Mus musculus: one gene and its partner. The protein of the gene in region 2 interacts with the protein of the main gene of each other region in a pairwise test. Links are inferred from orthologs where the notes say so. Each region holds a gene or a part of one and is shown on either strand. Other genes may lie near its edges.

Evidence for each region. The genes of interacting proteins can lie anywhere in the genome.
Region 1: the proteins of Vim (region 2) and Sirt6 interact in a two-hybrid assay, tested with the Homo sapiens proteins (2 studies listed by BioGRID and IntAct). The link is inferred for Mus musculus from reciprocal best matches to the Homo sapiens genes VIM and SIRT6.

The regions. Positions count from the first base shown.
Region 1 is NC_000076.6:81,623,872-81,629,597, reverse strand, and holds the start of Sirt6 (NAD-dependent protein deacetylase sirtuin-6), read left to right. Parts: upstream 1-2,060; coding exon 2,061-2,126; intron 2,127-2,275; exon of another isoform or gene 2,276-2,706; intron 2,707-2,980; coding exon 2,981-3,108; exon of another isoform or gene 3,109-3,170; intron 3,171-3,699; coding exon 3,700-3,882; intron 3,883-4,481; coding exon 4,482-4,541; intron 4,542-5,355; coding exon 5,356-5,451; intron 5,452-5,525; coding exon 5,526-5,606; intron 5,607-5,726. UniProt on the Homo sapiens protein: NAD-dependent protein deacetylase, deacylase and mono-ADP-ribosyltransferase that plays an essential role in DNA damage repair, telomere maintenance, metabolic homeostasis, inflammation, tumorigenesis and aging.
Region 2 is NC_000068.7:13,579,712-13,584,430, forward strand, and holds the end of Vim (vimentin), read left to right. Parts: intron 1-306; coding exon 307-527; intron 528-928; coding exon 929-972; intron 973-1,901; coding exon 1,902-1,987; intron 1,988-2,761; coding exon 2,762-2,803; 3' UTR 2,804-3,115; downstream 3,116-4,719. UniProt on the Homo sapiens protein: Vimentins are class-III intermediate filaments found in various non-epithelial cells, especially mesenchymal cells. Vimentin is attached to the nucleus, endoplasmic reticulum, and mitochondria, either laterally or terminally.

The DNA of each region.
Region 1 (5,726 bases), on a different chromosome or scaffold from region 2:
GTGTGTCCAAGTTCAGGCTACTTGCACCCTCTGAAGGAACTGTCCTCAACTGTAAACAGAGATAATTCCTCCTTGTCCAGGCAGTCCCCTGAAGTGGGGCTGAGCGTGCATCACAACCAGCAGCACTAGTTCAGCAGCTCACACAGGCTGCAACCTGGAGTTTGTGCAATCATTGATGCCATAAACTCCCCACCACACAAACACTCTTCTCTGTGAAATTTCTATTCACAAAATCGCCTCTCTCCCACACAGAACTATCTACCTCCCCAAACGGAGCTTCCAAGTTCTCCCAAGCTGGGTCTCCTCCTGTACCTCTAACCTGGGTTCATATGTAATGGAGCTACAGGGGGAGACACACTGGAAAGTCAGTGTTTTGCAAGAAAGTCTGGTCAAAACTGTCACTATTTAGGGCAGTTCCACCCACCCATCCATCTACCCATCCACCCACCCATCCATCCATCCATCCACCCACCCATCTACCCACCCACCCATCCACCCACCCATCTACCCACTCACCCATCCACCCACCCACCTACCCACTCACCCATCCACCCACCCATCCACCCACCCATCTACCCACTCACCCATCCACCCACCCATCTACCCATCCATCCATCCATTCACTGATCCCACCTCCTCTACTAATCAGGTTCACTTTCACCCCACACCTACCACCAAGGGTGGGTGACAAAACACCCAAAAGAGTTGTCCACATGCTACCAGTCTGAAGGAAATCGCCACGGCAAGGTGGCAGGGAAGGCCTGTGGATTTAAGGGTTTGCCTTCTGAAGAGGTGACACAGCACAGGTGACGCTGCGCACTGGGCCTGGGCCTTGGCTCCCGCGTGGGATGTGTGCACCTGTCACAAGTGTGCAGATGCGTGTGTTCATACTGTTGCAGGTAGCACCCCTCACCAGCACCCAGACTTCCCTGGCCTCCCTCACCCACATCCCCCTACCTCAGGCGACTCCAGACCGGAACCCAGCGTCCAAGCAGCCTCTCTGGTTACCCGCTCCAGCTGCGAGCCACCAGCAGCAGAGTAGAGGTGACACCCGATCAGGTTGGGGTGGGGGAGCGGGGGACGGATGAGCCAAGGGAGGAGACAAGCTGCTGTTAGCCAGCTTGCTCAGATGGGCAGCCCCAAGGACGGCCTCTCCCACCTCCTTGTGTGCTCCTGCCTCCTCGAAGCCTTTCTTGGGGTCTCCACGGGGATCAGGAGGCTTCGGTTGTTATATGCTGCCATTGACCCATCACATGGCTCCTGTGTCTGTTGATTACCAACAGGCAGAATGGTCAGATAGTGCCTCCCATCTCTAGATGGCCACGGAAGCAGGGCTCTTCACCTCTCTCCTTGCATCTCTGGGCACCTCTGGGTAACACGTGGAACTCGCCCAGTTCTGTGGACCTAACCCTATGCTCTGTGATATTCCGGGAGGTGCACTCCAGAAACTAACCCAGGAAATGTTGGCAGGGGGCCCAGAGGTCTTTCCTCTGCCCAAGAACCCCAGTTTTCCATTCATTCTCTCCTGTAGCCAGAGTCAGGCAGACCCTGGATGACAGTCACAAAGGTTAGGGTATCATGTAGCCTAGCGTGGCTTCGAACTTTCTGTCCCCTCCTGCCAGTGCTATAAGCACTCCGGGCAGGGCTCTACACACTGAGAACTGTGGATTTTTGTTTTGCTTTGTTTGGTTTCATTTCTGGGTTTTGCTGATGTTGTCTCTTTTGAAACAGGGAGTTGGTCTGGGACTCGCAATCCCCCTGCCTCGACTCCTGTGAGTGGCCTCATCACTTTTCTGGCTCTGGTCGCGGATCCCAGGACTGGGGAATCCACTAAGTCAGAGAGGTAGTCTCGGCCAGCACTGAAGACTAAGCTTGCTGCATCAGGAGGGCGCATGCGCTCTGGAAAGAATGCTGTTTTTCACCTCCACGTACCCACCCCACCCTCAGGCACGTATCTAGGGAAGGCGGCTACTCTTTCCCGACCGTCCCTTCACCACTTCCGGCGGAAGCGGCCTCAACAAGGGAAACTTTATTGTTCCCGTGCGGCAGCGCCGGCGACGATGTCGGTGAATTATGCAGCAGGGTTGTCGCCTTACGCGGATAAGGGCAAGTGCGGGCTGCCCGAGGTGAGAGCTGCAGTGTTCGAGTCACCGAATGACCCCAGACGGGGAGCGGCCGGGCGAAGCGGGGCATTGTGGGAACAGCATGAAACATAGAGTCTAGACAATGGGAGGGACTTCCCTGGAAGGAGGGGGCGGGAAGTGACACCCACTGCTCAGGCTGGGTGACACGGAGGAACCTGGGTCAGGGAAGGAGTGAGGGGCTAATGGGAACGAGACCAAATCGTCAGGTCAGGGAGTGGACGTCTTAATTGTCAGGGAAAACCTGGAGCTGTGGGAAGATCTGCAGGGCCGGAAGCTGGCACCCTTTCCTGGGGGCATCCCTGTACCCCACTCTGTACTCCTCCCTGAATCTGGGCCAGATGGATCCTGAGTGTGGGGCTGTCAGTCTTTGTTGTTTCTGAAGGGGTGTAGTAGGGTGGAGGGTTCTCTCTTTGTAGCCCAGGCTGGCCCCGAACTCACAGGAATCTTCCTGCCTCTGCCTCCCGAGTACTGGTGTTAAAGGCCTGCGACACCATGCCCTGCCTGCCTCATGTTAACGGAGCCCCTAGACAAGTAGAGCTGCATCTTGATTTAGGGGAGAGAGGTGGGTTATCTAAAGTCCAGGATGGGGGATGACGTCAGTGGGGAGGTCACGTGGGCCACAACCAGACCAGGACAAAGGAGTGGCTGCCTGCAGGAACAGCACTCTGGGAAGAGGGCTCGGCATGTGCAAAGGCCCTGGGGTAGGACACAGCGATGTGTTAAGAGTGTGGCTGGAACTGAGGGATGTTGAGAAGGGGCAGACAGAGCATTGACCCACAGGAGGCCTGCCACTTGGGAGGTCACGTGTTGCCTCCTCCTGCCCTCTGACCCTACAGATCTTCGACCCACCAGAGGAGCTGGAACGCAAGGTGTGGGAGCTGGCCCGGCTAATGTGGCAGTCCTCCAGCGTGGTTTTCCACACGGGCGCCGGCATCAGCACCGCCTCTGGCATCCCCGACTTCAGGTCGGTGAACAATGAGGGGAAACTGAGGCAGGGCTCTTGCTGATACACCTCTAGGGACTAAGGTGAGGTGGCAGAAGGACCTTTCAGTTTTCCTATGTCTCTGAAAGGCCCAGCAAAAACTCCACTTGCCCAAGGATCAGAGCATGCCCACATAATGTAGTAGCTGCAAGGCATGCTGGGAAATGTATTCATGCAGCTCGGCCAGCCACTGGGTTTTCTAGGGTCAGAATGACTCAATGTTGTGGAGTGACTAGCTCACCCATAACCTTCGGTGGCAGCCTATGACCACTGTAAAGCATTCTGGGAACCCGCAGCCGGTCTTAACCAGTACTCAGCCCCAGCTCCACTAGCTCCCCTGCCTTTGTTTACCCCCAGACCCTCAGCCCCTCCGCCTCTTTCATGAAGACGTCCCATGCTCTTTAGAATTCTTGCCTACCCGGCAGTCATTGTCTCCACCACAGGATACAGAACCACCCTAAGAACGGGGCTGGGGCCAGCATGGGCTGACTTCAGCATTAACAGGAAGAGCCCACAGCCTGGAAAATGAATGTTTGACCTCTGTGCCTGTCCTCCTCTGCTTGCTATCCTCAGAGGCCCCCATGGCGTGTGGACCATGGAGGAACGCGGCCTGGCCCCCAAGTTTGACACCACCTTCGAGAATGCTCGGCCCTCGAAGACCCACATGGCCCTGGTTCAGCTAGAACGCATGGGCTTCCTCAGCTTCCTGGTCAGCCAGAACGTAGACGGGCTGCACGTGCGCTCGGGCTTCCCCAGGTCCGATGAGTCGGCCGGGGGGCTGGGGCTCAATTGCATCTCTTCCTCCTTATTGGACCAGGGTGCCCTAGCTCAGGGGCATTTATTAGGGATGCAAAGAGGGGGAAGGCTCGGAGCCCAAAGCCGGGCAGTACTTGGTCAAATTGGGGGGATGTAGGCAGGGTTCCACCCCTCACTGGGGTGGGGTGGGGAGGTTGGCAGGGGCTTTAGGGCCAACTGACTGTTGCGGCAGAGGGCGAGTACATGACAGAATTTCTCCATGTCTTGGCTACCCTGGGACTTGCCCTGTAGATCAGGCTCACAGAGATCCACTTGCCTCTGCCTCCCAATGGAGGGATTAAAGGGGTGTGCCGCGGCTAGCCAACAGGTTTTTTGTAGTGGGGAGGAGGTATTTGTGAGTTTGTGAAGACACCGTCAGACAGCTATGCATGCAACAGTTCCTCAGAATGGGACAGGCTGGGACATCCTCCAGGAAAGAGAAGTGGACGCCCCTTGTGAGTGAGCCCCCTAGGAAGGCTTTCTGGAGGAGGAGGCAGACTGAGCAGCTGGTCCAAGCCCCAGGATCTGGGAAGGGTCCTTACTGGCATCTTCTTCTGCAGGGACAAGCTGGCAGAGCTGCACGGAAACATGTTTGTAGAGGAATGTCCCAAGTGTAAGACGTGAGTGTTGCCCGTGTAACACAAGACCCTGCTCCTCCCCTAAGCCAGCTCAGGGTCCTAGCATGGCCTAGAGAAGGCCAGAGACAGTCAGATGAAAACAGACCAACAAAGGCTCGTAGACAAATGGGGCAAACCCTTTCTTCACAGCCCCCCAAGGGAGAAGCTGGTCATGCCCTTGGCAATGAGGGGTTCTCCCTGCCCTGCCTTTGCTATGGCTCTGGGCTGGGTGTCAACATGGCTTGCACACCAGAGCCTCGGGGTGTTGAGCAGGACTGTGCCTCCTGAGCTTTGGCCCCTGACTCCCTCTTAGGGGTTCTTTATTCAGACAGGACTTCATTAAAGTTGCCCAGGTTATCCTGAAATTTGGCATCCTCCTGCCTCAGCTTCCTGCGTGCTGAGCTCACAGGTGCGAGCCATCATGTTTCCCTTAGCCTCCTCCCTCCCGCACCCTCCCTTGTGTGGATGCCAGCGGCTGACACTGGCTCAGCCCCCTCTGCTTGTGTTTTGAGGCAGACTTGCTCTCAGAACCTGTACCTCTTTGGTTTAGCTGAGTGGCCAGTGAACTCCTGGGGTCCCCAGCTCAGCCTCCCAAGCTCTGGGGCGACAATCCTGCTCCACCATGCTCTTCGTTTTCCATGGATGACTCAAACACAGAGCCCGGAGTCTGCTTGCCAGGCACTTTCAGACTGAGTAGTCTGTCTGTCTATCCCTCGGTTGTTTGTCCTGCTCAGTAGCCCATGGGTTGAGCCTGGCTACACCACCCCCCAGCTGAGAGAACATTAGAAAATGTGTGTGCACCCTTCCCCCTTTACAGGCAGTACGTCAGAGACACGGTTGTGGGCACCATGGGCCTCAAGGCCACAGGCCGGCTCTGCACCGTGGCCAAGACCAGGGGACTTCGGGCCTGTAGGTAGGTGACTTTCCTCACACCCTCCACCTGTGAGGAGGTGGGCGCCCCCTGACTCCATTCCCTGACTGCCACAGAGGGGAGCTGAGAGACACCATTCTGGACTGGGAGGACTCGTTGCCTGACCGGGACCTGATGCTCGCTGATGAGGCCAGCAGGTGGGACCCCACACTCCCCAGGTGGAAATGGGTGGGGATGGCTACGCAGACCTCCACAGAAGGTCGAAACTCGGGTGGGACAGCAGGGTTGTCCCCATCACCCCCAGCCCAGGGCCCTGG
Region 2 (4,719 bases):
GAGTACCTTGAAAGTCTTAGTTTACATATGTTATTGATTGTAATAAGAGGGGTTTTAGAGGTTACTCCTGTAACCTCATCACTCTGGAGAATGAGGCAGGGGGATTATAAATTCACAGTTAAGCTAGGCTGCATGTAAAAGTGTTATTTCATCAAAGCAAAACATGGAACTGGGTGCTTGTGTTCTCTGTTCAAAGCTAGTGGGCACCTACCATTAAAAGAATTACTGTACCTTATTTATGAATATTTTGGGGGACAGCCGGGTTTTCTGGGAAATCACATGAGAAGCCATTTTTGCTTTCTGCAGAACGAGTCCCTGGAGCGCCAGATGCGTGAGATGGAAGAGAATTTTGCCCTTGAAGCTGCTAACTACCAGGACACTATTGGCCGCCTGCAGGATGAGATCCAAAACATGAAGGAAGAGATGGCTCGTCACCTTCGTGAATACCAAGATCTGCTCAATGTTAAGATGGCCCTGGACATTGAGATCGCCACCTACAGGAAGCTGCTGGAAGGCGAGGAGAGCAGGTATAGAAGGCAAACGTGCATGTGTGAACTAACTCACAGTCGTCTTTCTAGGAAGATCTCATTTAACCCAGACACCATATATATGAGGAACTTAACGTTGCAGAGAGTAACTTGCTGTGGTCAGAGATAATTAATAGCAGAGTAGATTTGAACTCACAGCCATGCAAAAGACAATACGTTCTCCCTCTATAAATTCTTCTGGTTCATGTTTCTGTGTGGAAAAAAATATCTTCCGAAATTTAAATGGGCCAATGAGACCAAGCATGGGTAGAAAGTTCTTAAACAAGTCACTAACAGCAATAGATTTTCATTTGGTGGAAACAAGAACTGCGAAAACTTGTTCCTGCTTCTTGAAGTGCTTTGTTCTCAAGTTTTTTGTGTGTTTCTTTCTCTTTTTATAGGATTTCTCTGCCTCTGCCAACCTTTTCTTCCCTGAACCTGAGAGGTAAGTACATTGTTTCATCTTATGGGAAAAAAATGTCACAAGGCTGTCACCAGTCACTCTGCCTGTAGCATAGCTTCCACATTTTTAAAAATATTTTTTATTACGTATTTTCCTCAATTACATTTCCAATGCTATCCCAAAAGTCCCCCATACCCTCCCCCCCACTCCTCTACCCACCCACTCCCACAGTAATTCTTGATTGAACTGTGCTTTTCCAAAGAAAATTCAATGAAACATGATTTCTCTTTTATAAATACATGTGTATAGCCATTTTATTTTCTGAATATTTCTTTTGGGCTTCTGAGGTTCTGATAGAGTTAAGTCACTTTCTCGCTTCCGTTTCTTCTCTCGAAACCTTCCATGTACTGCCCCCTGACATATATGGCTGTCTTTTCAGTTCATGGCTTCCTTTTGTTTAAATGCTGTTACACACACACACACACACACACACACACACACACACACACACACTGTGTATTCTTACATACATGAGTACAATGGCTCATTCTGTATAATATTACTTACATGTATGCTTTCAGGCTCGACCATCTGGTCCCTTTTTTATTATAGTTCTCATGACTGCTGGAGACCAAACCCAGGGCAATCAGCTAAGCTAAACCCACAGAGCTCCACCCCTAGCCTGATACCCTCAGTTTCAAACTCGAGTACATTCTTGCCTTTGCTACCCTGTTAAGTATAGACTCAGTCTACTTCCTGCTAATGGCAAAGTCAGTGAACTACTACCTCAGCCTGAATGAAGGAGCCCTTAGGTGCTGTGTACTCAAATGGATAGTGCTATGTAGGATTATGTATGAGTAGCACTTTAAATAACCATAAAAATAAAGTCATGATGCTTTGGGTAAAATGGTAATGTTTTAAACTTTTTCTTATGTTACTGCCTTTTTTTTTTTTTTTTTTTTTTAATTCAGAAACTAACCTGGAGTCACTTCCTCTGGTTGACACCCACTCAAAAAGAACACTCCTGATTAAGACGGTTGAGACCAGAGATGGACAGGTCAGTATTTTTTAGTTAAAATATGGGAAAGTTTAAAAGAAGGAATGATGAATAAACTATACAACCACTTTAAATATGTGTTGGTCCCCTTTAAGTCAGCAAGCAGATATATCAGATATGGCAGCTAACTTAAGGAGTCCCCGTGGATACTGGATGAATAGCCCCCAATTCCACCAATGCAAGAACCAACAGTCTATTTGGTCTTGATTAGGACAGTAAACTTCCTGCACACCATAGTCTGTGCACTAAACAGGAGTAAAACACCCTTAAGGCATCTCTTACATTGGCTGCATTAAAGTGTGTCACTTAATGACATCCGTGATATCAGGGATAGTTTGACATTGGACATACAGTTCTCTCTCAGTGATTGTCACCTGCTTATATAGTACGAGGACCCATATGTGGTCAATCACTTTCTTGTTGCCACTCCATGCCAGGGAAGACATAGTTACAATGAGTTATAATTATAAAAGCTCAGCCTTGCATGAGGATATAAAATACATTTGCCATACCTCTACATATGCCTTAGTTGCTTTTAAGCTTTGTTTGGAATTGCAAAGGCCAACTTCCTAAACACAGTTTCAAAGTATTCTTTTGTCACACCTTTCCACTGGATACTTGTATTGTCTGCAGGAAGAGGCCACCCTGCCTATGCTTCTCCTTAGGGCCTCGTTCTGCAGAGTCAGCATAAACTCCCAGTCTGCTCAACCAATTCTGTCTGATTAGGGCCATATCTCCTTACCATGAGTTGATTTTTGTTTCTTTTTTGAGCAGGTGATCAATGAGACTTCTCAGCATCACGATGACCTTGAATAAAAATTGCACACACTTGGTGCAACAGTGCAGTACCAGCAAGAAGGAAAAAAAAATCGTATCTTAGGAAAACAGCTTTCAAGTGCCTTTACTGCAGTTTTTCAGGAGCGCAAGATAGATTTGGAATAGAAAGAAGCTCAGCACTTAACAACTGACACCCCAAAAGACGTAGAAAAGGTTTACAAAATAATCTAGTTTACGAAGAAATCTTGTGCTAGAATACTTTTTAAAGTATTTTTGAATACCATTAAAACTGCTTTTTTCCAGTAAATATCTGACCAACTTGTTACTGCTTCAATAAATCTTCAAAAATACTGTTTTGGTGTGTTATTTTATAATATCTAAACAACTCTCTTTACTTCTATTGGTTAATTTGCAAAAATCATGTTTAGATTTTTGAGTTCAATTTATTTATGCTTGCGATATAGTTTTCACGTTAGCCTTTTAAGAGGGAGATCACTTCTTTTTCAATTGTTTATTGTTTTAATTTGATGTGGGTATATGACTTAGAGGCATGCTTACACACACAGGCCCTGGGTTCAACCTTTAGTAAATGAATACATGCATCTGCACATGCTTATGCACACACATGTGCACACCCACACAAAACTGATATAAAACTATGTGGTATTGGGGAAATGGCTCACTTGATAAAATGCTGCTTGTAAAATTATGAGGATTTGAGTTTGGACTCCTGAAATTCATGCAAAAAGAACATGGTGTTCACCTGCAATTCCAGCCCTGGGGAAGAAAAGAAACCAGGACCCCTGGGACTTACTGACCAGCCTGTTTAGACCATTTTCGAACTCTAGGAACAGTGAGAGACCCCCTTTTTTTATTAGATAATTTCTTTATTTACATTTAAAATGTTATCCCGTTTTTATTTACATTTAAATGTTAACCCGTTCCGGGTTTTCTCTCCAAAACTTCCGAACACCTCTCATTCCCCCTGCTCCCCAATCCACCCACCCCCACTTCCTGGCCCTGGCATTCCCCTACACTGGGGTATATAACTTTCACAGGACCAAGGGCCTCTCCTCCCAGTGATGACCAACTAGGCTATCCTCTGCTACATATGCAGCTAGAGCCGTGTGTCCCACCATGTGTTTTCTTTGGTTGATGGTTTAGACCCTGGGAGCTCTGGGGTTACTGGTTAGTTCATATTGTTGTTCCTCCTAGGGAGCTGCAAACCCCTTCAGTTCCTTGGGTACTTTCTCTAGCTCCTTCATTGGGGACCTTGTGCTCAGTCCAATGGATGGCTGTGAGCATCCACTTCTGTACTTGTGAGGCACTGGCAAAGACTCTCAGGAGACAACTATATCAGGCTCCTGTCAGCAAGAACTTGTTGGCATCCACAATAGTGTCTGGGTTTGGTGGTTGTGTATGGGATGAATCACCAGGTGGGGCAGTTTTTGGATGTTCCTTCCTTCATTTTCTGCTCCACACTTTGTCTCTGTAACTCTTGAGTTTTTGATCTTAGCCATTCTCACTGGTGTGAGCTAGAATCTCAGGGTTGTTTTGATTGGCATTTCCCTGATGACTAAGGATGTTGAACATTTTTTAGATGCTTCTCAGCCATTCAATATTCCTCAGTTGAGAATTCTTTGTAAAGCTCTTTACCCCATTTTTAAGTAGGGTTATTTGGTTCTCTGGAGTCTAACTTCTTGAGTTCTTTGTATATATTGGATATTAGCCCTCTATCGGATTTAGGATTGGTAAAGATCTTTTTCCAATCTTTTAGTTGCCTTTTTGTCTTATTGACAATGTCCTTTGCCTTACAGAATCTTTGCAATTTTATGAGGTCTCATTTGTCGACCCTTGATCTTACAGCACAAGCCATTGCTGTTCTGTTCAGGAATTTTTCCCCGGTGCCCATATCTTCGAGGCTTTTCCTCACTTTCTCCTCTATAAGTTTCAGT